Yarrowia lipolytica: one gene and its partner. The protein of the gene in region 1 purifies or fractionates together with the protein of each later gene. This does not show direct contact. Links are inferred from orthologs where the notes say so. Each region holds a gene or a part of one and is shown in the gene's direction. Other genes may lie near its edges. The genes, in order: YALI1_B21562g and YALI1_B08438g.

The links.
Region 2: the proteins of YALI1_B21562g (region 1) and YALI1_B08438g purify together in Schizosaccharomyces pombe (affinity purification with western blotting; 3 studies listed by BioGRID). This does not show direct contact. The link is inferred for Yarrowia lipolytica from reciprocal best matches to the Schizosaccharomyces pombe genes mcm6 and cdc45.

What each region holds. Positions count from the first base shown.
Region 1 is NC_090771.1:2,152,408-2,164,218, forward strand, and holds YALI1_B21562g (uncharacterized protein), read left to right. Parts: upstream 1-3,861; coding exon 3,862-6,627; downstream 6,628-11,811. Other genes in the region: YALI1_B21538g (uncharacterized protein), read left to right, coding at 1,470-3,203; YALI1_B21594g (uncharacterized protein), read left to right, coding at 7,023-7,083, 7,223-7,405, 7,452-7,936; YALI1_B21618g (uncharacterized protein), read right to left, coding at 8,085-9,431; YALI1_B21628g (uncharacterized protein), read left to right, coding at 10,443-11,402. UniProt on the Schizosaccharomyces pombe protein: Acts as a component of the mcm2-7 complex (mcm complex) which is the putative replicative helicase essential for 'once per cell cycle' DNA replication initiation and elongation in eukaryotic cells.
Region 2 is NC_090771.1:836,171-847,981, reverse strand, and holds YALI1_B08438g (uncharacterized protein), read left to right. Parts: upstream 1-4,144; coding exon 4,145-6,133; downstream 6,134-11,811. Other genes in the region: YALI1_B08461g (uncharacterized protein), read left to right, coding at 1,859-3,496; YALI1_B08401g (uncharacterized protein), read right to left, coding at 6,258-7,820; YALI1_B08374g (uncharacterized protein), read left to right, coding at 10,464-10,522, 10,568-10,931. UniProt on the Schizosaccharomyces pombe protein: Required for initiation of chromosomal DNA replication. May have a role in regulating the MCM proteins nda1 and nda4.

The sequences.
Region 1 (11,811 bases):
TAATTAAATGTATCTCATGGGTACGTATAGTACAAGTAGGTGCACTCAACAAGTTGCTGAACCAAGCATTTACCCCATTTCCCCTCCTCTGGGAAGATGGGGATAAAATGTCACGTGACCTAATAAACAAGTTACAAATTCATTGTCTATGTAATCGAGTGGAGTTTTCCGATATCGGGATTTCCCCGCCGGTTATGAGCCACTCTCCCTTTTGCGTTGCCAAATAAAATTGCGAGGATGATAGAGTTCCGAGCAGAGGTAAGTTAATTATGGAGGCTGAGTTAAGATGGAGAGGCTGAGATACGGCTGTGGAGACTCTACAATAGACATAGAGTTGCCCAGGATGAGTGTAAAGAAGGGACTTCGTCGGCTTGATAACCCAACGACAAACAGGTTTTTTTTTGCATCAATGTTAATTCTACCATAGTCGAACGCTGTTAAACTTGCCTCCTTTAATAACGCCCCCCTTTACGTCATTTTCCCTCACAGCGTGCGTCCTATAGGCACATAAACTTGCCCTTCATAAATCCCACAGCATACATCAAAAGCCGCTTTATGTGCGCGTAGAAGCCGCCATTTGTGCGTGCGAGGCGTAGGTAAGAGAACTCGAGCGGTGTCGGAGCTTTATATACCGGTATCGGTGCCCCCTATTAGACTTGCTAGTTTAGCTGGTTTTCTAGATCTACGGTAGCGCACTTGGGGTCATGGGCATTTTCCACCTAAGCGAGCAATATTTTCAGAGATCAAGGTCCGTCTAGAACCGTTAGGTGGCATGTTTCTCCTCGAAGTCCTTGTCTGCAACGTGTACAGCTGGACCCGTTTGGTGGGGTAAAGACAAACGAGGCAGACTCGGAGAGCACAGAAAAAAGGGCAATGGGGAAAAAAGCAAAGTCTAAAAAGCTAAAATACGTGGAGCCATGGGCAAGCAATAAGGTCTGTGTAAGGCACTTTTCGGCGAGAGAGAAGTGGAACAGTAGCTCAGAAGAGAATATGCATCTATGCCCTTCTAGGGCTGTATTTCTTTTTCCCAGTTGATCGGGCTTGGTCACGCTACTTGACCGAATCAGCCATCACTTAGTGTGTGTCTAATGCTAGCCAAGAGCTAACGGTCAGAGTTGCATGCATTCGGTGCTGAAGGAATAATCAGGGAAGTAACCATCTGTATCAAATGCTCTCTCTCCTTTGACAAATATTGCCGGAAATCAGTCCACATGAGTATTGCACCTCCTAAATTTGCCTCTCCTCTTTCCCCACACGGCTATCTTGTTTTACCTGCACCAGTAAACACAGTTCACTGCGCTGCACGGCTAACCTAGAGCATGTTACACCCGGCCACCTTGGCTTATAAACGTTGGTATGGGACGCTAGTGTAGACTCTAAAAGTGTTGTTGCAAAGAAATCCATCTCATTTGAACTGAGCGGGTTTTTATTGCACATCTTTACACCTCTCTCTTGCATCTTTTGTGAACATGGAAAAAAACGAAGTGGTATCAACCAACTCTCCCCACGAGGAGGGATCTGTCACTGAGGCCAACAACGGACGATGGGCCAACTTCAAGGACTCCTTCCGACGAGCCGATCTGAGCGAATACGACACCGAGGGTCTTTCTGATCTCGAAAAGGCCGCTCTGGCAACCGCTAACTCCCCTCTCAGTCGATCCCTCAAGGGACGACATCTCCAGATGATTGCCATCGGAGGATCCATTGGAACTGGTCTGTTTGTTGGCAGTGGAACCACCCTGGCCACTGGAGGACCGGCAGCCATTCTCATCGCCTACTCCATCATTGGAACTATGTTGTTTTGCACCATGCACTCTCTGGGAGAACTGTGTGCTTGCTTCCCCGTCTCCGGCGCGTTTGCCTCTTACTCTACTCGATTCATCGACCCCGCCTGGGGCTTCGCCATGGGATGGAACTACACTCTCAACTGGTTTATTGTGTTCCCCCTGGAGCTCGTAGCCGCAAGTCTGACGGTCAACTACTGGAATGAAGCTAACGGAACCAACTACAATGCTGGCTGCTGGGTCGCTATCTTCTGGGTGCTAATTGTCTCCATCAATTTTTTCGGAGTCAAGGGCTACGGAGAAGCCGAGTTTTACTTTTCGCTTATTAAAGTCATTGCTGTGGTCGGATTCATCATTCTCGCTATTGTTCTGACCTGTGGAGGAGGACCCAACCACGACTACATCGGAGGCCGATACTGGCACAACCCCGGCGCTTTCTCTGCTGGTGCCAAGGGAGTCTGTGCCGTCTTCGTGTCTGCTGCCTTTGCTTTCAACGGAACTGAGCTGGCTGGCCTGGCTGCTGCCGAGACCGCCAATCCCCGAAAGTCCATCCCCACTGCTACCAAGCAAGTCTTCTGGCGAATTACCCTCTTCTATATTGTGTCTTTGACTCTGGTCGGCTTCCTTGTTCCCTGGGACCACCCCCAGCTGCTCAACAAGAGCTCTTCTGCTGACGCTTCCGCCTCTCCGTTCGTCATTGCCATCAAGGCTGCCGGCATCAAGGGCCTTCCATCTGTCATGAACGTCGTCATTATGATTTCCGTTCTGTCCGTCGGCAACTCCTCTATCTTTGGTTTCTCTCGAACTATCGCTGCTCTCGCCCAGCAAGGTCAGGCTCCTTCCTTCTTCGCTTACATTGATCGAAAGGGACGACCTCTGTTTGGCATCATCACAGTCTCGCTCTTTGGACTGTTTGCATTCATCTGTGCCGGTCCTATCGAAACCCAGAACACCGTCTTCTACTGGCTCATGGCCATCTGTGGCCTCTCCTCCATCTTCACATGGGGCTCCATCAACCTGTGCCACTTCCGATTCCGAATGGCCATGAAGGTCCAGGGTCGATCTCTCCGAGAAATGCCTTTCTTGTCTCACGTCGGAACTATCGGATCCATGTACGGCTTCCTGCTCAACGTAACCGTGCTTGGATTGCAGTTCTGGATCGCTCTCTTCCCCGTGGGAGGTGCCAAGCCTAAGGCTGACGTCTTCTTCCAGGCCTACCTGGCTGTACCTGTTGTCCTGGCCTTCTATATCTTTTTCAAGCTGTGGAAACGGCCCAGCTTCGTGGCTCTAAAGGACATGGACCTCGACACTGGACGACGAGAAACTGACTTCGAGCTGCTCATGCATGAGATGGACGAAGAGGCTGCCTACATTGCCTCCAAGCCCTTCTACTACCGAGTTTACAAGTTCTGGTGCTAACCGCTGCATTTAGTGTTATATATATATATTGTTTGTTATTAATTGAAGAGTACAAGGACAAGTGCACATTTCATTCAACTTATCGCTACTGTACATACGAGGAGCGATGGGAGCACTACTTCGGGGTCTGCATCGTACGATACAGTATATATATATACTCATACGAATTGTACAATTACATCACAAGTACAAGTACCCGTACAATTACAGCACAAGTAATAAATATACATGCAAGTATTACTTGTACTGTTTACTCATACTCATACTCATACTGTACATACGTACATACTGTACTTGTACTTCAGACATTTGACACACGCTCTGTCCAACACCCACCACATTGATGACAGTGCACCTCGGCGAGTACTATGTGCTGTGCGCCATGTTTGCCTATAATGTAGAAATAACCTGTTTTTGTCAACCCAAATAACGAGATAAATCCACAAAGCCGCGTTTGTATGTCGGTTTATTGCTTACCCCCTCCGCCAACACGTTGCTAGGGGCTCCAGTTAAGGTTTGAACGCGACGCGTTCTCCTTGCCAAAATAGGACTAAATTAAGCCGGGTAACTAGACGACGTGTTTTCTGCATGGGACAAGAATATATCCCAATCCTCCTGAACACAACACATCGTACCGAAAACCACACACGAACACACCATGGACCTCGTCGACCAATTAATGACCGAGGGGATGGAGGGTCCCTCTTCCCCCGGCCCTCCTTCCTCGCCCGGAGCCAATTTGCCCTCTTCTTTCGCAGGACGAACACCTGGAACCACATCTGCTCATGGAGGCCCTAGCTCTGACCAATACAGAGAACCAGCTGCCATGGATGTACCTCCGGACGAGGAGGTGCGAATGCGGCGAATTATGGAGCAAGAAACAGTTCCCAAGGTTCAGGACGCCACTGGAGAGAAGGTGCGTGATCTATTTGAAGAGTTTCTGGAGACTTACGTTGATGGATCAAATCCGGAAGAGTACTCTGATGACGAGGATGGAACTGCGTATGACGGGCGACCTTACGTACGACAAATCAAGGGTCTTCGAAGTTTCAACAAGTCGTCAATTTTCGTGGACTACAGACACATGAGCGAGACTGAAGATGGTATTCTGGCCCAAGCCATCAGTGACCAATACTACCGATTCATGCCATTTTTGCTGCGAGGTCTGACCAATGTGATTCGAAAGATTGAGCCCGTGCTTCTGCAACAGTCTGTAGGCTTTTCTGAGGATGGAAGTTCGACGTTTGGAGGATCCAAGTCGTCGTCTGCCTCAGATCAGCCCCGACACTTTCAGATCTGTTTCCACAACCTTCCTGTCGTGTGCAGAATTCGGGAACTCAAGACCGACAAGATTGGTTGTCTTATTTCTCTAGGGGGTACTGTCACTCGAACGTCCGAAGTGCGTCCAGAACTGTACTTGGGAGCCTTCCAGTGCCAGGAATGTCATACTGAAGTGGACGGAGTGGAGCAGGTGTTCAAGTACACAGAGCCTTCGATCTGTCCCAACCCCATGTGCGGAAACAAAAAGATGTGGAAGCTGCTGATGGACAACTCTGTGTTCTTGGATTGGCAGAAGGTGCGTGTGCAGGAAAACGCACATGAGATCCCCGCTGGATCTATGCCCAGAACCATCGACGTCATTCTTAGAGGTGAAAATGTGGAGCGAGCTCGAGCAGGAGATCAGATGATTTTTACTGGAGCACCTGTTGTCATTCCTGACGTCACTCAGCTTGGCCTGCCTGGTGTGAAGCCTCGAGCAGTTCGAGATGGAGGCCGAGAAACTTCTGCTGTGGAGTCTGGAGCCGTCACAGGACTCAGAGAGCTTGGAGCACGTGATCTGACCTACAGGATATCTTTCCTAGCTTGTTACGCTGCTCCTGCCAACATTCTGGACGCCTCTGCCAACGACAACTACGCCGAGAACGCTGCTGACGAACAAGAGGAGTACATTCGAAGTCTGAAGTCTGCCGAAGTGGAGCAGCTTCGTGATATGGTCCACGGACAGGATATTTTCCGACGTCTGGTACGATCCATTGCTCCTGCTGTGTACGGTCATGAGACTGTCAAGAAGGGTATTCTACTGCAGCTCATGGGAGGAGTGCACAAGAAGACAGCTGATGGAATTCGACTACGAGGAGATATTAACATTTGTCTGGTTGGAGATCCCTCCACTGCGAAGTCCCAGTTCCTTAAGTACGTCACCTCGTTCCTTCCTCGATCTGTGTATGCTTCCGGTAAGGCATCCACTGCTGCAGGTCTTACAGCAGCTGTGGTTAAGGATGAAGACTCTGGAGAGTTCACCATCGAAGCTGGAGCTTTGATGCTTGCTGATAATGGTATCTGTGCTATTGATGAGTTCGACAAGATGGATTTGGCAGACCAGGTGGCAATTCACGAGGCTATGGAACAACAAACTATCTCCATTGCCAAGGCCGGTATTAACGCTACTCTGAACGCCCGAACTTCCATCCTGGCCGCTGCAAACCCTGCCAAGGGTCGGTATGACCGCAGACTCGGTCTGCGAGCCAACGTGCAGATGTCCGCTCCTATCATGTCTCGTTTCGATCTGTTTTTCGTCATTCTTGACGAGTGTAATGAGGCTACGGATACCGCTCTGGCCAGCCATGTCGTTGACCTGCACATGCATACTGATGAGGCCATCGACCCTCCCTTCTCCACTGAGCAGCTGCAGCGATTTATCAAGTACGCCCGTACCTTCAAGCCCATGCTGACCCCCGAAGCCCGAGCAGTTCTTGTACAGCAGTACCAGCAACTCCGAGCCGACGACGCCACCGGAGCTGGAAACAGTTACCGAATCACCGTTCGTCAGTTGGAGTCCATGATCCGTCTCTCTGAGGCCATTGCTCGAGCCAACTGTTCGACCATCATTTCCCCTGCCTTTGTTCATGAGGCTGCCAAACTGCTCAGAGACACCATCATTCTCGTTGAGCGGGAAGATGTGCTTCTGGACGAGGAGGAGGACACCGTAGACGCTGCCGAGGACGCCGTTGACGAGGCCATGGAAGCCACCCAGCTAGCCAACCACACACCCCGGGACCAGATCACTCACCAGCAATACACACACATGGTCAACATGATTGTGTCCAAGCTATCGGAGAACTACACCGACGATGCCGATGCCAGTAGAATCGGAATGTCGCTGGATGCACTACTGGAGTTCGTGCTGGAGCAATACGAGGAAGATATGGTTGATGAGGAGGATGTGGAGAACCACACTCGGCTGACCAAGAAGGTCATCAAGAAAATGAAGAAGAACAACCTTCTCATGACCGTGCGAGGTAATTTAGACGACCTGGAGGCCCCAGGAGATGGAACTGAGCTGTATGTGATCCATCCTAACGCTGCGGCCGCTGAGTTGGAGGAGACTAGACAGACAGGAGGTGTCATGCCTGATGACGAGTAGGGATAAATGAGCTTTCAGGATAGCTCTCCAGTAATACACACTCAGTTCATACCACACGACTTTAGAGAGTAAGTAACTAATTAATGTATTTTTATTTTTATTGTTTTCCAAGAGATTATTAATTTTATGATCTCCTTGTATTTATAGCAAGATGTGCAAGGTGAAAGCTGATGAAGAATGTTTGTAAATACAGTAAGCCGCCTCTAGGGTAAAATAGAGATGCCTATTAATACACGTACGAGTACGGTAAGTTATATTTCTAGCTTATATAATCACGGGATCTTATACATATTCAACCATATACAAGTGCCATGTATGCGGGGGTGATACGATTTAAGCCTCATTTTTAGAGCCCATGATTCTGCGCAACAGTAGCTAGCCCATGATATAAGACCATGAAGTTAAGGCCATACTTGACGTGTGAAACAGGCCTGATATGTTTTGAAGACGGCTCCAGTAAGTCGCTCCAGTACAACCAATGACACAGGAAGGAGGTTCATGTGCACCACCCAGAAACTCTCCAAACAAATACATTTAGGCTTCGCGTCAGACGCGTGTGATTAGGTTTACTAAACTTCGGGGGTGAAATTCACAGGAACATCTACGCACACCATGAGTGACTGGACTCCTGAAGGCGCTCTTCCTGCCGATCTCAAGGAGGAAATCGCGGCAGCTGCCACCGGCACAGAGTCGCTTCTGGCATTCCTGAATGTTGTTGAGCGGCTCAAGACAACTCCTCGAACTGGCTGGCTGAGATACAAGATGATCGATGATCCTGGTGAGTGACAACGATATAGGGAAGATCTCAGCTTGGACTAACACAGAATCTATTGCCGACCACCAATACAGAATGTCCATCATCGCCATGCTGTCTCTGTCGCCCGTGAACCAGAACACCTGTGTCAAGATGGCTCTAGTGCACGATATGGCCGAGGCTATTGTGGGTGACATCACTCCGTTTGACGATATGACAAAGGCTGAAAAGTCGCGACGAGAACACTCATCGATCATCTACATGGCTGCTTTGGTGGAGAAGTACAACCCTGTGGCAGCCAAGGAGATCGTCGATCTGTGGAACCAATATGAGAACTGCTCTACCGACGAGGCCCGACTGGTCAAGGACATCGACAAGTTTGAGCTCATGCTGCAGACTTACGAGTACGAGAAGCAGCACAAGTTTGCTGAGGATCTCAGTCAGTTCTACACTTTGCGAGGCGTCATCAAAACTGAGGAGATTGGAAAGTTGGCTGACGAGCTGCTCAGAAAGCGGCAGCTGGCCATGGACAAGTTAGGTGTCAAATGGGATTAAATATATAGAGGGTATCGCAGTTGAGCACATATTACATACTCTATTAATTAATTATCTATATCTATACATTCCTCCTAGTAACACCCAATGACTTAAGAGTCGAGGTTACAGTAATAACTCTGTTGAACGCCCAGCTTGTACTTGTGGTTTAAATGTTGTCCCTACCAAAGATCATAGCTGCAACTGAATGTCTTAGCGCAATAGCAGCCAGACCGGAAGCAAACTGGATACCCAGAAGCACAGCGGCAAGGTGATCCTCTCGCAGGGGTCCAACATAGACCAAAACCAGGTTGATCAGTGTCATGTTGGAGATGCTGATGACAACTCCCTTCTCGTCTCTCCACACTTTCAGCAGGTGTAGCTTCTCCAGCACGTAGATCATTATTTGGCCAAGCTTACCAGGCTTCTTTTTGTCAAAGTAGGTCCGGGAAGGCTCCAAAAGACCTGTCTCGGGGTTGAATTTAGGCAGTCTATGTCGAGGACAGTCGACAATCTTGAACAGCTGAGGCACAGAGTACAAGAAGTTGAAGATCTGGGGCACAAAGAACAGCAGGAGGGTCTTGGAGAAGTGGCCGAGAATACCAACAACCGCAAAGACCATGCCGGCGAAGTAGCAGTAGGTGTCTCCAACAAAACATTTTGCAGGGCACCAGTTGTGTCTCAAAAGAGCGATACTGACAGCCAGGAACGGCAGCAGCAGATAGACACTGAAGAGATGAGATTCTTCAGCGGGGTGGTTGGGCTGAACGAGGTAGATGAAATCGTTCAGCAAGATGCACACGCCAATCATAACCGATTGGCCAACTTCCAAGCCGTTCACGCCAGCGTAAATGTTGATGGAGTTAGGGCAGAAGATGGCCACGGCCGCCATGTACATGTAGTAAAGAGCCCCGAGGTCCACTATGTCTCCAAAGTAAGGTCTCAAAACCACGGGAACCATGACGGCTGTAATTCCAAAGTCCACGTAGTAAACTATGAGCAGCGGGATGGCAGCAATGGCAGGTAAGAAGAACTTGTTTCGCCATCTGATATCGAAGAGATCATCTGCAACACCCAGGATGAACATGGACTGCAGACACAGGATGGCAGAAAGGTACTCGGCGAGTTTTTCGTGAGGGAACGCACTGAGAATTCGTCCCTTGACCAGTCCCTCGCTCAAGCTGTCGTAACCCACAACCACGCCACCTCCGATGGTTTTGGCCAGGTACTGGTAGAACACAAAAGGAATGAACAGAAACATACAAAACAGGTAGACAATGGCACATACGGCTCCCATGGTCTCGGGAATCTCAGGCCGGTCTTTCTTGGACAGGTCTCGACCCGAGAAGCCGACCTTGATGAAGGCTGGTCCAAGTGCAGGAATCAGGTTGTAGGTGACCAGATAGGCGATGAGGGAGAAACCGACTGACGACAAAAGAGGCTGGTCCGCGGGATTGAAAATCAGACTGGCCGAAAGAGCCAAGATGGCCAGTACCGTCCATATCGACGAGTACATAATGTGTGTGTTTTGGCGGGCGTGAGGTCGACGGAGTTTCGTGTTCGAGGTTGTCGTTGTAGATCCACGTCATGCTGTATGTATGCATGTCCAAAGTTTATTCAGAGTAGTATTTTTGTCGCGCATTATGGTAAACGGCGTGTTACAGGATCATAAGCGAGCCGATGTCAGACCAGCTACCAAGAGTAATAAGGGGGTCAGTACAGGTTATGTGGTAGTACAAACGTGTAAAAAGACCGTATCACGGTATATCTGGGTCTGAAGTGGCGTTCTCGATATTGCTTTATAGATTCTGGTTGTGGAGAACAGTTCTCTCCTGAACAGCAGTAATTGTATTACAGTGAGTGTTTTGGTGCCTCCTGAGACCAGCCTTCTTGAGTTTATTTGTGAAGTTGGGGAGCACACTTGAAATGGTCAATATTGGACTCGTGCGAATAAAACTGATGGAATGTATCATAGCTGCTACCCACCGCTTTACTGTAGTAGTTCCATCAGCTTTCTGCTATCGTTCGAGCGCTTTTATGTGAGCTGAGTTCGATCACACATCCTAAGCACACCGCAATAAAATCATGATGCTATCCTACACATTCCCCTTGAACATCAATCATAACACGACAATAAAGATAACACGAATAGTGAAAACAAACCTGTATGGATAGTGGCTCCTTTCACTTTTCAACATACGAAGATACTGCTTCACTAGATTTCAGTCTCTCTTACTGTAGATACAAAATAACAGATTTTTTGAGTCTTCTCAATAAGATCAAGATGATACCAAAAGTGCCAATGCGATAGCTCGTATCTAATATTTCTACAGAGCTACCCTCCACCTGAGGTTCACATCACAGAACACCTACAAGTACTTACAGTACAAGTACCGGTACGAGTACTCGTACAGTGCATGGGGCACGATGCTGGATTACAAATATTAGATACATTGTCTCCTCCCAAAACTCTAAATTATCGCACCTCCAATTCTACATCACCGAGACTGTCTCTTAAGCATCAACAATGAAACCATTCAACACTGGACACGAGGAGCTGGTGCACGACGTTGCGTACGACTTTTACGGCCGTCGAATTGCCACCTGTTCGTCCGATACCACTGTCAAGGTCTTTGACCGAAACGATTCGACTGGCGAATGGGATATCAGCGACTCTTGGAAGGCCCATGATGCCTCCATCATCAAGGTGTGCTGGGCCAATCCCGAGTTCGGCAAGGTTCTGGCCACATGTTCTCACGATTCTACTATCAAGATCTGGGAGGAAAACATCCGCGAGAAGCAGAACAGTGGAAAGCGATGGAAGCGGGTGGCCACTATCACCGATCACAAGGGGCCTATTTACGACCTGGCCTTCTCGCCTAGCCACTGCGGTCTCAAGCTGGCATCTATCTCCACCGATGGACAATTCAAGATTCATGAGGCTTTGGATCCTAATGCTATCAGCTCGTGGACTAACATTTTCGAAACCAACACACTGAGTAGTGCCCCCAGTCGGCAATTGCAGAGTTCATTCTGCTTATCGTGGGGCAAATCACGGTTTTCCAAGGAATACGTGGTTGCATGTGCCCTGGAACAGTCGTATATCTACCAGAGACAGGAAAACGGCAAATACACACAGACAGGCCAGCTGCCTGCTCATGGATCCATCATCAGAGATATTTCGTGGGCTCCTAGTATTGGAAGGGGGTACCAGCTGATTGCTACTGCTTGCAAGGATGGTTTGGTTCGAATCTTCAAAATTGAGGAGCCTCTGACTGAGAGTGGACAACTGCAGGTGTCTCTGATAAACCAGTTCGATGATCACAAGGGAGATGTTTGGCGTGTATCTTGGAACCTCACTGGAACAATCCTGTCGTCCGCAGGAGATGATGGACGGGTCAGACTGTGGAAATCTACTTACAACAAGGAGTTCCAGTGTGTGGGTATCGTTTCTGCTGAGCAGAAGCATGACGCTATTGAGGATTAGCTACAAGTAGGGTTGTAGGTAAGCATTTTTATTGTTGGAGGCCTGCGAGTTGAGACCTCTACAGTAGCACGAAGGAAGGAAGATTAAATGGCGCGATGAGTAGTTTCAGTTGTTGGCTGACTTGGACCATTCAAGCCAGGTCAGGTTAGGCATCAAAGTCCTAAAACAATTGTTTGGTGATACAGTATATACTGTAACGTCAGCTTACAATAAACAGTGTCCAACACTAACCATTGTAACCCTTGCTGACTACTATCAAGAGATGAGCTCCAACAGTACATACAGTACATGCAATAACTACTGCTGAGTTATATCGATAAGTAGCAGTCGCATATACGAAGTGTTGTAAGTAGCTGGACAGATATGTAAACGAATTCATCTATATCTATACCTTGTGGTACTGTATGTA
Region 2 (11,811 bases), about 1.3 Mb from region 1:
CAGTAGCTAGGGCATGTCTCAGACTTGGCAGCTGGGAAAAACTGCTTTCCGCGGTGCTAAACCCGCTGGAGACCAACTAGTGTTCCTCGGTAGTTTTTCCAGCTAGTCTCCAGGCCGACTCGGGGAACTAGGCTCCAGAATGTGGAATATGGAGAGAGAACGTCCTCCCCCATATTATTTGCAAGTCTCAGAAAAGTCACTGAGTCTGCTTCTACTGAGTTAGGCCTGAGACATGCCTGGATGTGAGACTTGGTTGTGTCAATGGATAGAGCCGCGTCTATGGCTTTTGAGGACAGAAGCAGTTCGGCTACTCGACGATTTACTCAACGTGGAGCCATATATCAGACCACACGAATGAACCAGTCTTTTGGGCACCAGACCAGAACCACTCCACCTGGTTCGTTGTAGCCGGAAATTCGGCACCTTTTAGCACTTTGATAAATCCAATAACAGCAACGTCTCGACCAAAAAAGACCTTGAAACTCGGTCACAATCCCACCTCCATCTCACTTCTCACACTCAATCCTCTGTCTCACTCTCCTACCCCGGAAAAATAGTGCCGTATGACGCACTTCTAGCGGCTTCATATAGTCGACCCCGTCTAGACCCCATACCCCGGAAGCGACACGGCTACTGATGCACGCACGCAGTTTACTACTTTGTGAACTGCTCGAGAACCGTCTTTGTATTCTTATCAGGCCCATACCCACAATCGCAGAGCACATTCAGACCCACTTCCCCCGTGAAGCGCCCAAATCACGTCTGGACAAACCCGGAAAAACAAACGGGCCAAAAAGTGGAGAAGAATGTAGCCCCTCAGTCTCGCACTAGCTCGTCGGTACAATACACGTACATACGTATAGGTCATCTGAGACCGTGTTGAGAAGGCCAAGGGTTGAACCTGTAGGTAACATGGACCCAAAAATAGCGTGGAAAATCCAACTCTACACGTGACCAAGGCTCGGGAAATGTCACGCTTTTGTTAACAGCCACCCCCCTGACTCTTTTCCCATTCAAAGCTCGTTTTTTTATGTTTTCCACGCTCCTTTTTAGCCCATTTCAAGCTCCTAACAAGGTATCGTAGCCCCACATAGCCTAACGCTAGTTTTCGATTTTGGGGGAGGCAGTAGTACCCGTGGAAACTGCCAACAGATTCAAATTTTAAAGCTATGATTTGGTTCCCCCAGATGAGGTGAATCTAGCCATTTCTTTTTGTTTTCGACCAACAGTCTCCCCCAATGGCGTGAAACTTGGAGACCGGGTACGTTTAATGCAAACCAAATCCAAACAAGTAGTTGCCGTGCGACCTTGTCAACACCGTGATTGAGAATACCAGCCCGCGGAAACACCAACAGGGACCAATTGCTATCGCAGCAGACATTCATTCATGTGATATGCCATATCCACAGCCTGCGAACGCCCCGAAATCTCGTATTTTTCTGACATGCTTGGCATCTTGGCTCCTCCTACAAGTAGTAGACTAGAACTCTGCGGGGAAGACAAAAGAGTCGGTAGTGCCGTGACATGTATCAGGTGTTCAGCCGCTTGTCGGGGCCGAAGACAGAGGTGTATCTGGCAACTTTCGGTGTCAATTGTGCAACCTGGCGATTCGGCAAATGGGATACCTCCCATGACCATCAGGACCGTCCTGGACCGTCCTGGACCACCCACCCAAGACCACCTGGTAGTTTCGACCCATACTACAAGTACAAGTACTGTACCCTATAAGTACCCTACAAGTGACTATAACCCGTCTAAAAGACCCCCTTCGCTCTGCAGATAGCTTGTCTCACGCGCTAAATGAAACAGTATAAATAACAAGTCAACGGACTCACGGTCCACCCCCACCCCCCAAAAAATGATTGGAAACGCTCAAATTAACCAGGTGGGAGCCTTACAGCACCGGTTCCCCAAACTCCACAATCCTTACTTAACTGCGGCCGTGGCCACCATGGGTGGTCTGCTTTTCGGCTTTGATATCTCGTCTGTTTCTGCCTTTGTCGACACCAAACCCTACAAGGAGTACTTTGGGTACCCCACCTCCATCCAGCAGGGCGGTATCACTGCCTCAATGGCCGGTGGATCCTTCCTGTCGTCTCTGGTGGCCGGCTGGATTTCCGACCGACTTGGTCGACGTTTCGCCATCCACTTTGCTTCCTTTTGGTGGGTGGTTGGAGCTGCCATCCAGTCCTCAGCCCAAAACAAGGGCCAATTGATCGCCGGTCGACTCATTTCCGGCCTTGGTATCGGTCTGGGCTCCTCGGTTATCCCCGTCTACATCTCCGAGCTGTCTCCCAAGAAGATTCGAGGTCGGCTTGTCGGTCTCTTCCAATGGGCCGTTACCTGGGGTATCCTCATCATGTTCTACATTTCCTTCGGTCTCAGTAACATCCACGGAGTCGCCGGATTCAGAGTCGCCTGGGGTCTGCAGATCATCCCCGGTCTGCTCATGTCTCTCGGTTGTTTGTTCCTGGAAGAGTCTCCGCGATGGCTAGCCAAGCAGGACAACTGGGACGAGTCCGTGCGAGTGCTTCGAGCCATCCACCAGGGAGGCTACGGCACCGAAGAAGACATTTTGTTAGAGATTGAAGAGATCCGAGAAGCAGTCCGAATCGAGCATGAGACCAAAAACCTGCGATTCTGGCACCTGTTCCAAAAGGACTCCATCAACCGAACAATGGTGGGTATCTGGGCCCAGATCTGGCAGCAGCTCACCGGCATGAACGTCATGATGTATTACATTGTGCTGATTTTCACCATGGCTGGATACACTGGAAACGCCAACCTGGTGGCCTCGTCTATCCAGTACGTCATCAACATGATCATGACCATCCCCGCTCTTCTGTTCATTGACCGAGTGGGACGACGACCCCTGCTGCTGTTCGGATCAATCGTCATGATGATCTGGCTGTTTGCCGTCGCTGGTATCCTTGCAGTGTACGGAACTCAGATCCCCGGTGGACTCGACGGAGACGCATTCACAACCATTGTCATTGAGCCCACTCACAAGCCTGCCCAAAAGGGAGTCATTGCGTGCTCGTACCTGTTTGTGGCCACCTTTGCGCCTACCTGGGGCCCCGGTATCTGGCTGTACTGCTCCGAGCTGTTCCCTCTGAAGCAGCGAGCTGTGGCTGCCGGTGTAACCGCCTCTGCCAACTGGATCTTCAACTTTGCTCTCGCTCTATTCGTGCCCTCGGCCTTCAAGAACATCAACTGGAAGACCTACATCATCTTTGGAGTCTTCTGTATCGTCATGACCATCCACGTCTTTGTCCTCTTCCCCGAAACCAAGGGCAAGACCCTCGAAGAGATTGATATGATGTGGGCCGCCCGAGTTCCTGCCTGGAGAACCGCAAACTGGGTGCCTGACCACGTTCCTGGCGCCCTTCCCGAAGACGAGAAACACTCGGAGGAGATGGTCGAGGCCGTCGAATCCAATGAAGAGGAGCCCAAGATAGCCAGTGCTAACGTCGACGCCCCTCCCCCTCAATTGTAATAGCAGTAATTAATAATGTAACCAGGTGTCAGCGACACGAGCACTGGTCTGAATTGTTGAATAATGTGTTGTATTGTACTCCACAATATTTAGTTGGGACTTAGTTTAGTGTCAACAGTTTATCCCATTGATTTAACAAATACTAAAGGCATTTATTTAACAAACCTTATCATCAAACCAGAGAATGTACGGTAACAGGTAAAAGTATACATACGCCTATAGTGGATACTTAGGAACCTCAAATTACAAAGGAGAAATCATTGAAATAATCCCCAACACGTTCTCTACAACATCCACTTTTTATATTTCTTACAACCCCTCTACAAACACCTCTACAAACATACCTACATACAAACCAATTTTTTTTCACCAACTCTACTAAAATCCATACTTGTTTCCACCCCTGATCTACTTGTAGTGATTGTGAGACACGTTATGGGCCAGTTTCCGCCCTCGCCTTTTCGATCACGTGACCAGGACACACACACATACACACACATAGATATACACCCTCACGTGACCACACCGACTGCACTTTCTTTGCAGTACCCTAACCTCTAATTACCGGTCTGCACACGCGTAACTTTACCTTGACGCGTCTTTCCACCACACCGAATCAAAGTGAGTGACGACTGACAACGACACACCATGATCATCCAACCAGACCAGTTTGAAGAGACGTATCGGGCGCTGTGCAAGACCAGTATTGCTCACATGACGTGCAAGCTGGTGGTGTTTGTGTCGTGTCTCAATGTGGACGCTCTGTGTGGAGCTCGAATGTTTTCTGATCTGCTGCGAGCCCAGTTGATCCCCCACAAGACGGTGCCGGTGACGGGCTACGAGGAGATGATTCGCAAGTACCGGGCTCTGGACCCCGAGATTCTCAACGTTTTCTTCATTGGGTTCGGTGCCACTCAGGATGTGGGGGAACTGTTGAGGGGGGACGACGAGGAGATGGAGCTCAAAAAGATTTACATTGTGGACGGAAACCGGCCCTGGCACTTGGATAACATTTTGGATTCCAAGATTGTGTGCTTTGACGACGGACGGGGCAATTTGGAAGAGCGAGGGGAATTGTTGGTGGCATACAACTGGCTGAACGACATGAGTGCCGAAGAGCTGGACGCTCTGAGTGATCTGGAAGATGAGGGTGACGATGACGACGACGATGACGACCAGCAAATTCATAAGAGAAATGGTCACCACACCAATACTGTCGACGACAATGATTCTGACTCCGATGGTGGTGATCTAGTGGACACTCTACTTCCTTCGAAACGGTCCAACTCTGAAGACCTGCCTGACGCCAAGAAACTGCATTCCCAACTTCTGTCGGCGAAGAAACAAAAAGACGACTTTGAAGACAAGATCAGAGCCTACTACCAGCAAGGCACCTCTCAGTCCTCCCCAGCCTCTTGCATGCTCTACACTCTCATGTCGCTTATTGGTGAAACGTCAATCACTCGCTTATGGTTAGCTGTCGTGGGAACATCTTCTCTGGACAGTCAATACCCGCAAGTATTCCAGGACTCGTTTCCCATGCTTGCAGATGAAGTAAATCGAGTCGGCAACGAAGAAGCAGCCGCCCAGATGGCCCAGAATGCAAACTCTGAGGCCCCCGTGTCAGAAAAGGAGCTGGTCACGTCTCTCAAACTCGAAACCGACTACTCGCTGTTTGTGCTTCGACATTGGAACATTTACGACTCCATGTTCCACACGGATTACATTTGGGCCAAGATGAAACTGTGGACGGAAAAGGGCCGTCAGAACTTTCAGAAGATGCTGGCCATCATGGGTGTTTCATTGACAGAGGCTCGAGAGGGCTGGATCCATTTGAAGGTGAGCGTCAAGCAGGGTCTCAACAAACGAATCGAAAAGGCGGCCAAGGTGGCCGATCTGGAGGATCTTCTGCGACCCGGAGTGGTGCGAAAGTTTGGATACAAGGGCTCTCTGACAGCTGGAGATTGTGTGGATGCTGCTGGTGTTATTTTGCAGCTAGGAATGGACAAATCACCCGCGGGATTGGATCATATTAAGGAGGGCATTCTGCTCACAGTCGACCAAGACTATCGTGACGAATCGCAACGAGACCAGTTCTGGATAGCCAACTTTTGGAGCGCCTGGGACTCGTTGGAAGATGTGGATACACTGTTGCTTGGAATCAGCAAGGCCAAGCTGCTACAACAAGCTGTGGCTCGAACTACTACTGCATTGATTGAAAAGGGCCAGATTCGGCCCGTGTCGGACTACTTGGTGGCTGTGGTGAAGGAGGGACCCGATCTGGCCCTGTTCAGAAACCCCCTGGCATTGTGTCGACTGGGTATCTGGATTGCCCAGACAAAGGCCGAGGCCCACAAAAAGAAGTATTCTCCTCCACTGGTGCTGGCCTCTTTGGACAAGAGTACTGGAAACTACATGGTGTTGGGCATGAACCCTCGACAGGCCCGAGATTACCATTTTGTCATGGAAGAGGACCTGGAGGATGACCGATTTGTATTCAACCAGTTTACTCAGCGGTTTGCGAAGGCCGCAGAAGATGTGCATACGAGATACAAGATGGACATGTTTGAAATGGCGGTGATTGAGGTGGATAAGAACGACTTGACGCGGTTTTTGGAGCGGTTGACTGTGGTCTAAAAACAACGGTCATGTACAACAAATACTTACATAGGATACATTAATAGAAGCATTATTTAGTAGAAAGTAACGCTTGCTTGTATAGATGCGACCCTCTATGACTATATACATTGTTGCCTCTACTCTATGGCAACATAATACTGCCGGTATTTTCTCTGGACGCAGCACCAAGCAGAACCAAACTGACAGCATCGACAGCCATAAGGGCAGCCTGGTAAATTCTGGGTGCGGAGATAGTGGTCACAAACAGTACCGCCAAAATCATCTCACTGGGAACAGCCACCAGACTCCGCGCTACACCAATACCTCCCATGATAACAGACATGTTCTCGGGCGGTCCAAGACCCATCTGAAGAGCAATGGTGGACGAGATGAAGGTACCCGAAAGACCTGAGAGAATGGCAGCCAGTGTTCCGATGGTCTGAGATGCAAACAACAGCTGAAAAAAGCCAACCACAAAAGTCAGAACTGCCTGAAGCTTGCATCCAAGGATAGCCACAGGAGTGGAAGAAGTGGTGTTATTCAGCAATTTTTCCGCCGTGTTGACAAACAGAGGTCCTAGGAAGATTTGGGACACAATTAGAATGATTGTAACTTCCACGTTGAGAATGGTAATCTCCTGCATGCCCCAGTTCCATTGGCGTTTGTAGAACAGAAAACCAGTGTACTGAGATGTTCCATACAGACCAAAGAGAGCCAGGTAGGCCAGCAGGAAGGAGTTCTTCCGTTTATCCTGTGGAGAAGGAGCCAGACGAAGCACTTTCGAGATTGGTGCCACAAAATTGAACACGTAGATGAGTCGCTCGTCCCATTTCAAGACGCTCCACTCCGCATCCCACTTCACAGTAGCTCTGTCCCGTGATTCGAGCGTCGTTGATTCAGGAAGGATCACAACGACACAGCACACACCAGCAAAGACAAGCATTAGTCCCAGCTTGCTCATTTCAGCAAACGACGATCCGGCGGCGTTGGTTGCAACCACGGTGTTGGCTAGCATGGGGCCAATCAGTGCGCCCAGAAACAGAATGAAGGCGTAGAAGAAGGAGACATCGGTAGCCAGCTCCTGCAGGTTGCGCTTCCCTTTACTGGCAGAGGCTGCGTCAGCAAGGTAGATGAGAAAGAAATCCATGAGAAAGTGGGTGCAGAAGACAATGTTGGGGATGATCCATAGGAACAGAGGCACCGACAGAGCGTAAGTGACGAACCCCCATTGGAGCAAGTAGGCGAACAGAACTGCCACCATTGACATGACGATGACCGGCTTGCGTCCGTAGCGGTCTGAGAGCTTGTAGATGTGAATTTTGACCAGCAACCCTACCAAGGATCCTGCAGTTCGTAGTCGTCCTCCCATGGTCGCAACTTTGGTGTGGATTGCGTCCGTTTGGCACGCAGAGGCGTATTCCGTGAGACTGCCATCGTTAAGGGTGCGTCGACACACAGCAATGAGAAATGCATCAGGTCCTGTCAGCTGCAACACACCGTAGCCGAGGTAGAAAAAGAACAGCGAAGTGACAAGAATCGTCACCCCTGGTCGTTTGAAATAGCCCAATGAGGGGTAGTGATGAGTGGATTGGCTGGGCAATTGTGTCTGTGTCGTTATTTGGGTCCGTGTCTGTGGCTGAACCACTGGACTCGTAGTTCGACCTGTTGTCGTCGTGGGGGGATTCGCTAATGGTGAGCCGTTCATTAAGATGTGATATGTGTGAGATGCAAAGAGACGAGTCGGGCTTATGGTAGATGGATCGCTCGGGGTTGTTTTGTGTGTATATGTAGTTAGTGCCGTTTCTTGTCCACAGCACCTGTCTGTGTTTATGTTATGTTGTTGTCAACTCTCTTGGTGTGTTGTCATAATTCTGATAGTGGTGATAACAATGGGGTGCAGGAACGTGCATCAACAAACTGGTTCCGAGCTGTATGGGGTTAGTGAAAGTCTAGATTTCGACAATGAAAGAGGCCCGAGTAGCGCAGGTATCTGTGCTATATATCCCTCGGTTCGCTCGTTTAGGACATTCTACGCGGAACTACAGGACATGTATTCGTCTCGGTCACACTTTTTTATCCGCATCGTTTTAGGTTCCAACAGATAATGTCGTAGGGTGCAAATGGCACACTGGTGGCAATTAGACACTTGGTGGAAGAGTTAAGTGGAAGGGCTGCGACCGGGGCTACGCCCTGGTCGCAACATATGCACGATTTAGGCCGTTCTTCAAGAGACAGAAACGTCTGTGGTTGGGTTGTTTGGCTTAACTAACAAATAGCGTTACTTGGAGAGATAGTTGACGGACGTGATTGAAATTGTCAAGTGGAGGAGGGAGAAATGAAACGAGGGAAGACAGGCTGAAAGCAACCAGTGAGTGGTGTTGGATATTTAATTGGGGCTTCAGAAACCGAAGCTGAAGTTTCCACCTCTCTCAGCATCTCCCAGTAGTTCTTAGTTGCTCAGAAACAAGCCGTCATTTAGGCGCCGTATATATGTCGGTCTCTGGAGTCTTTGAGAGGCGAAAGGAAGATGCTGAGTCACTGAAAACATTTCCAGCACCAAAATACAACATTCAATCAACTCCATATGTCCCCAACACACCTCTGACTTCCGCAATACCCATTCTTGTTCTCAACCAACCCAACCCATAGCCATGACTCGTAGCACGTCGCTCTGACTCCCCTAAAGACTTCAAAAACACTCACTGAAACTCATATTTCTCATTTTAGTCAACTCTTCTGGGCACCCTGGGTACTCTCTCATTCTCTGGCGTTCTGTTGAACTTGTGAGTTAGAACTGTATCTGTCACACCAGCGTTTCGAGAAAGTCGATGTACTCAGAGGCGTCATCATACGTCCAAAAACAAATTTAACACTCTTTGACGCTATAAATACTCCATTAACAAGTCGCCTTCTAATTATAACATCTTCTCAGGTCATCAAGTGTTCTATTTTCGACTACAGCACACGGTACAGCGCTCCCAGAGAACCCAGAAAAAAACCACGCAAACACATTGTAGTACTTTTATTTAGCTTGAAAATGATGGCGAAGACGGAAACACTAAGAATGGTAACTTTGTCGTGTTCTACATGGCTCAAAAATCGATTAGTTCCGTCGACAGTAGCTACAGCGAGTGAGTACCGACACATGACTACTAGGGATTCGTGTAATTCTCCAGATGCCTCTGTATTCTATTCTTAACACTTATTCTACATCTTTCACATTGAAAAGTTTTCTCTGCAATGTATTTTTGGAACAGTCAGTGTGTGGAATGCAAACGTGGAATGTCTCAAGGGACCCTACCGATTGATTGGCGTAGCAGATACTGTCAGAGTACCGGTAATTGGACATTGCCTAAGACATGACTAAGAATCCCTTGTTTGCACACCAAGGTCAACTAACTGATCAAACACCTCTTCGGGAAACTCCTCTTCGGGAAACTCCTCTTCGGGAAACACCTCTTCGGGGAGGAGTTCGTATTTCTCAACTGTATGTACACACTGTACGCAACTACATAGCGCCATATCACCCGACAACTCAACGGCTGGCTTCTAGAGGTTCATGTAACATTGCTCAAAGCAGGGGATGGAAGCAATCGTCGAACACCATTGTATATCAGTCCCGCGTTCGTGGAATTTTGCTGGCGACACATTTGAATTCACTCCACCTGGCCAATCTCCGACATCGGAACTCAGAGTTATGTCCAAAACAAAGAGGAAAGAACGGGAGACACAAGGGCGGTCCAACTAATACGCATTCCAGGTGCATCCTTCTAGTATGGGCAACTCCCATAAGTCCCCACTTATACCTCCTATCTCTAATCTCCAGAAAGGTAAACGAACTGCCATAAACGGCTCCCCACGTATTCGTGTTATAATTAGACTAGATGATTAACTTAGACGTAGAAAAAGCAACGAGGATGCTGGGTACTGTAGCAATTTACCAGCAACTTTATTGGCACGTTTCTCTGTTGTGTTGGTTGAGGCAGTCCAGAAACGAGCGGTACTGTACGTACAGCAAAGTCTTTGCTGCTACTCCAGGGCTTCTGCCATGGCTCCTCTCTCTTGAGAAGAAGAACAAACCAAGGCAACGTTTGTATCAGGCACGGGAGATGTGTATGGTTTCGCCTAGATGACGTTTATTACCCGTTACGACCAGGTTTCTGCTGGGTTTTTCGGTCTCTGAAAAGTTGTAAACCCCAGATCTTGAACCAAGACGAACACTTCAACGGGCTTAACTGTACAAGTACAGTTGGTAGAAATACAAAAACAAAAACGTGCATCAAGTTTTCATATATACATTCACAGAATATGTCCGAATTTGAGTTCTTCTGACCTAATCAATCAGCCAATGTCCTCCTGCTCCTGCTCCTCCCCTCTCACGTCCACTGTTAGGGCAATTTCAGCTCAGTGAACTTCAGAATATGCTTGGAATAGCTCTTCTTTCTACCCCAGAGATGATGATTTGTTCGGTCTCGTCCTTTTGACCGGACTCAGATCTCGTTCCAGCAGTGGCCCACGAATGCCTCCTCCCTCAACTTCCCCCAATGATGATAGATCACGCCTTTTGACGGTAGTAAACGACCCAGAATCGAACATGCATTCTCACGGTCTCGCGATCCAGCTCCGGATACAGTCCCACCATGTAGTCAACCATCTGTTCGTCTGTACTGGACGAATAATGGGTGCGAACGTGTACCTGGGCTACCCTGTCGTGTTGTTCTGTCCAACGCATTTGAGCATATCTGCAAGAGAGCAGACTCTGAGGATTCCACGCGTCTTAAATGATGCTAGAGCTGAGACATGTCCATATTGGTGAGCTCATAGATGTTGCAGGGACGAGACAGGATGTACTGTACGGCACGGGCTATAAATAGGTAGAGTTTGGCGACGAGTATCTGGTCATGTTTGTACTGAAAGTCTGGCTGTTATTAATACCATTGGAATCACCGGAGCAAGACGGTTCATAATATCAACTTTTTTTTCCATTTCGACCAAAATTGCGGATTTTGTGGGGTATCTGTGGAGTATGAGAAATCAACACCTTCTCAAACGGGCGAACTGGGTTTAACGCTATTTTCAGGTGGAGTACCCAACTGGGGTGGAGGTAGTGATTCGAATAGGCGAAATATCGGGTTGAAAATTGATGTGAAGAGTCTCGACATCATCATGTACCCACTGTGTAAATTTCAGTCGGATTTCTCACTTAATTGGTCTCTAAAACTACTGTTAATGTCCCTGTAACCGCAAATAAGCGTCCCACTTAGACGCAAACTCAGTACCCGCCCTTCTACATACTTTCTGCTATTTTTAGTGTCTCAGTTGTGTTGCGGCTAACAGAGGTGTGTGGAAAAAGTGTAAAGTGTTAAGGAACAAGAAAAGAAAAGACAAGACATACTGGCAAGCGACATGCAAGGTGAACCTCAAGATGATCAAGATGAAACACATGACCCCGTTTCCGCTACGTTTATAGGTCTCATTCTTGGTTTTACACTCGTACTTGTATATTGAGCCAGATCCAATGGCACAATCTCAACCCCGTCGACTGGTACATACTGTAGAGTCTTGTGCTACCAGTATCCATCGGTATTGGGACTCTCAGTATACAAATTTTCTCATGTCATCTCTCGAACTCAGCTCGTATACCCTTTAAATTTGCACTTCCATACATGACAGGCTGGTTCCAGTCCACACACATT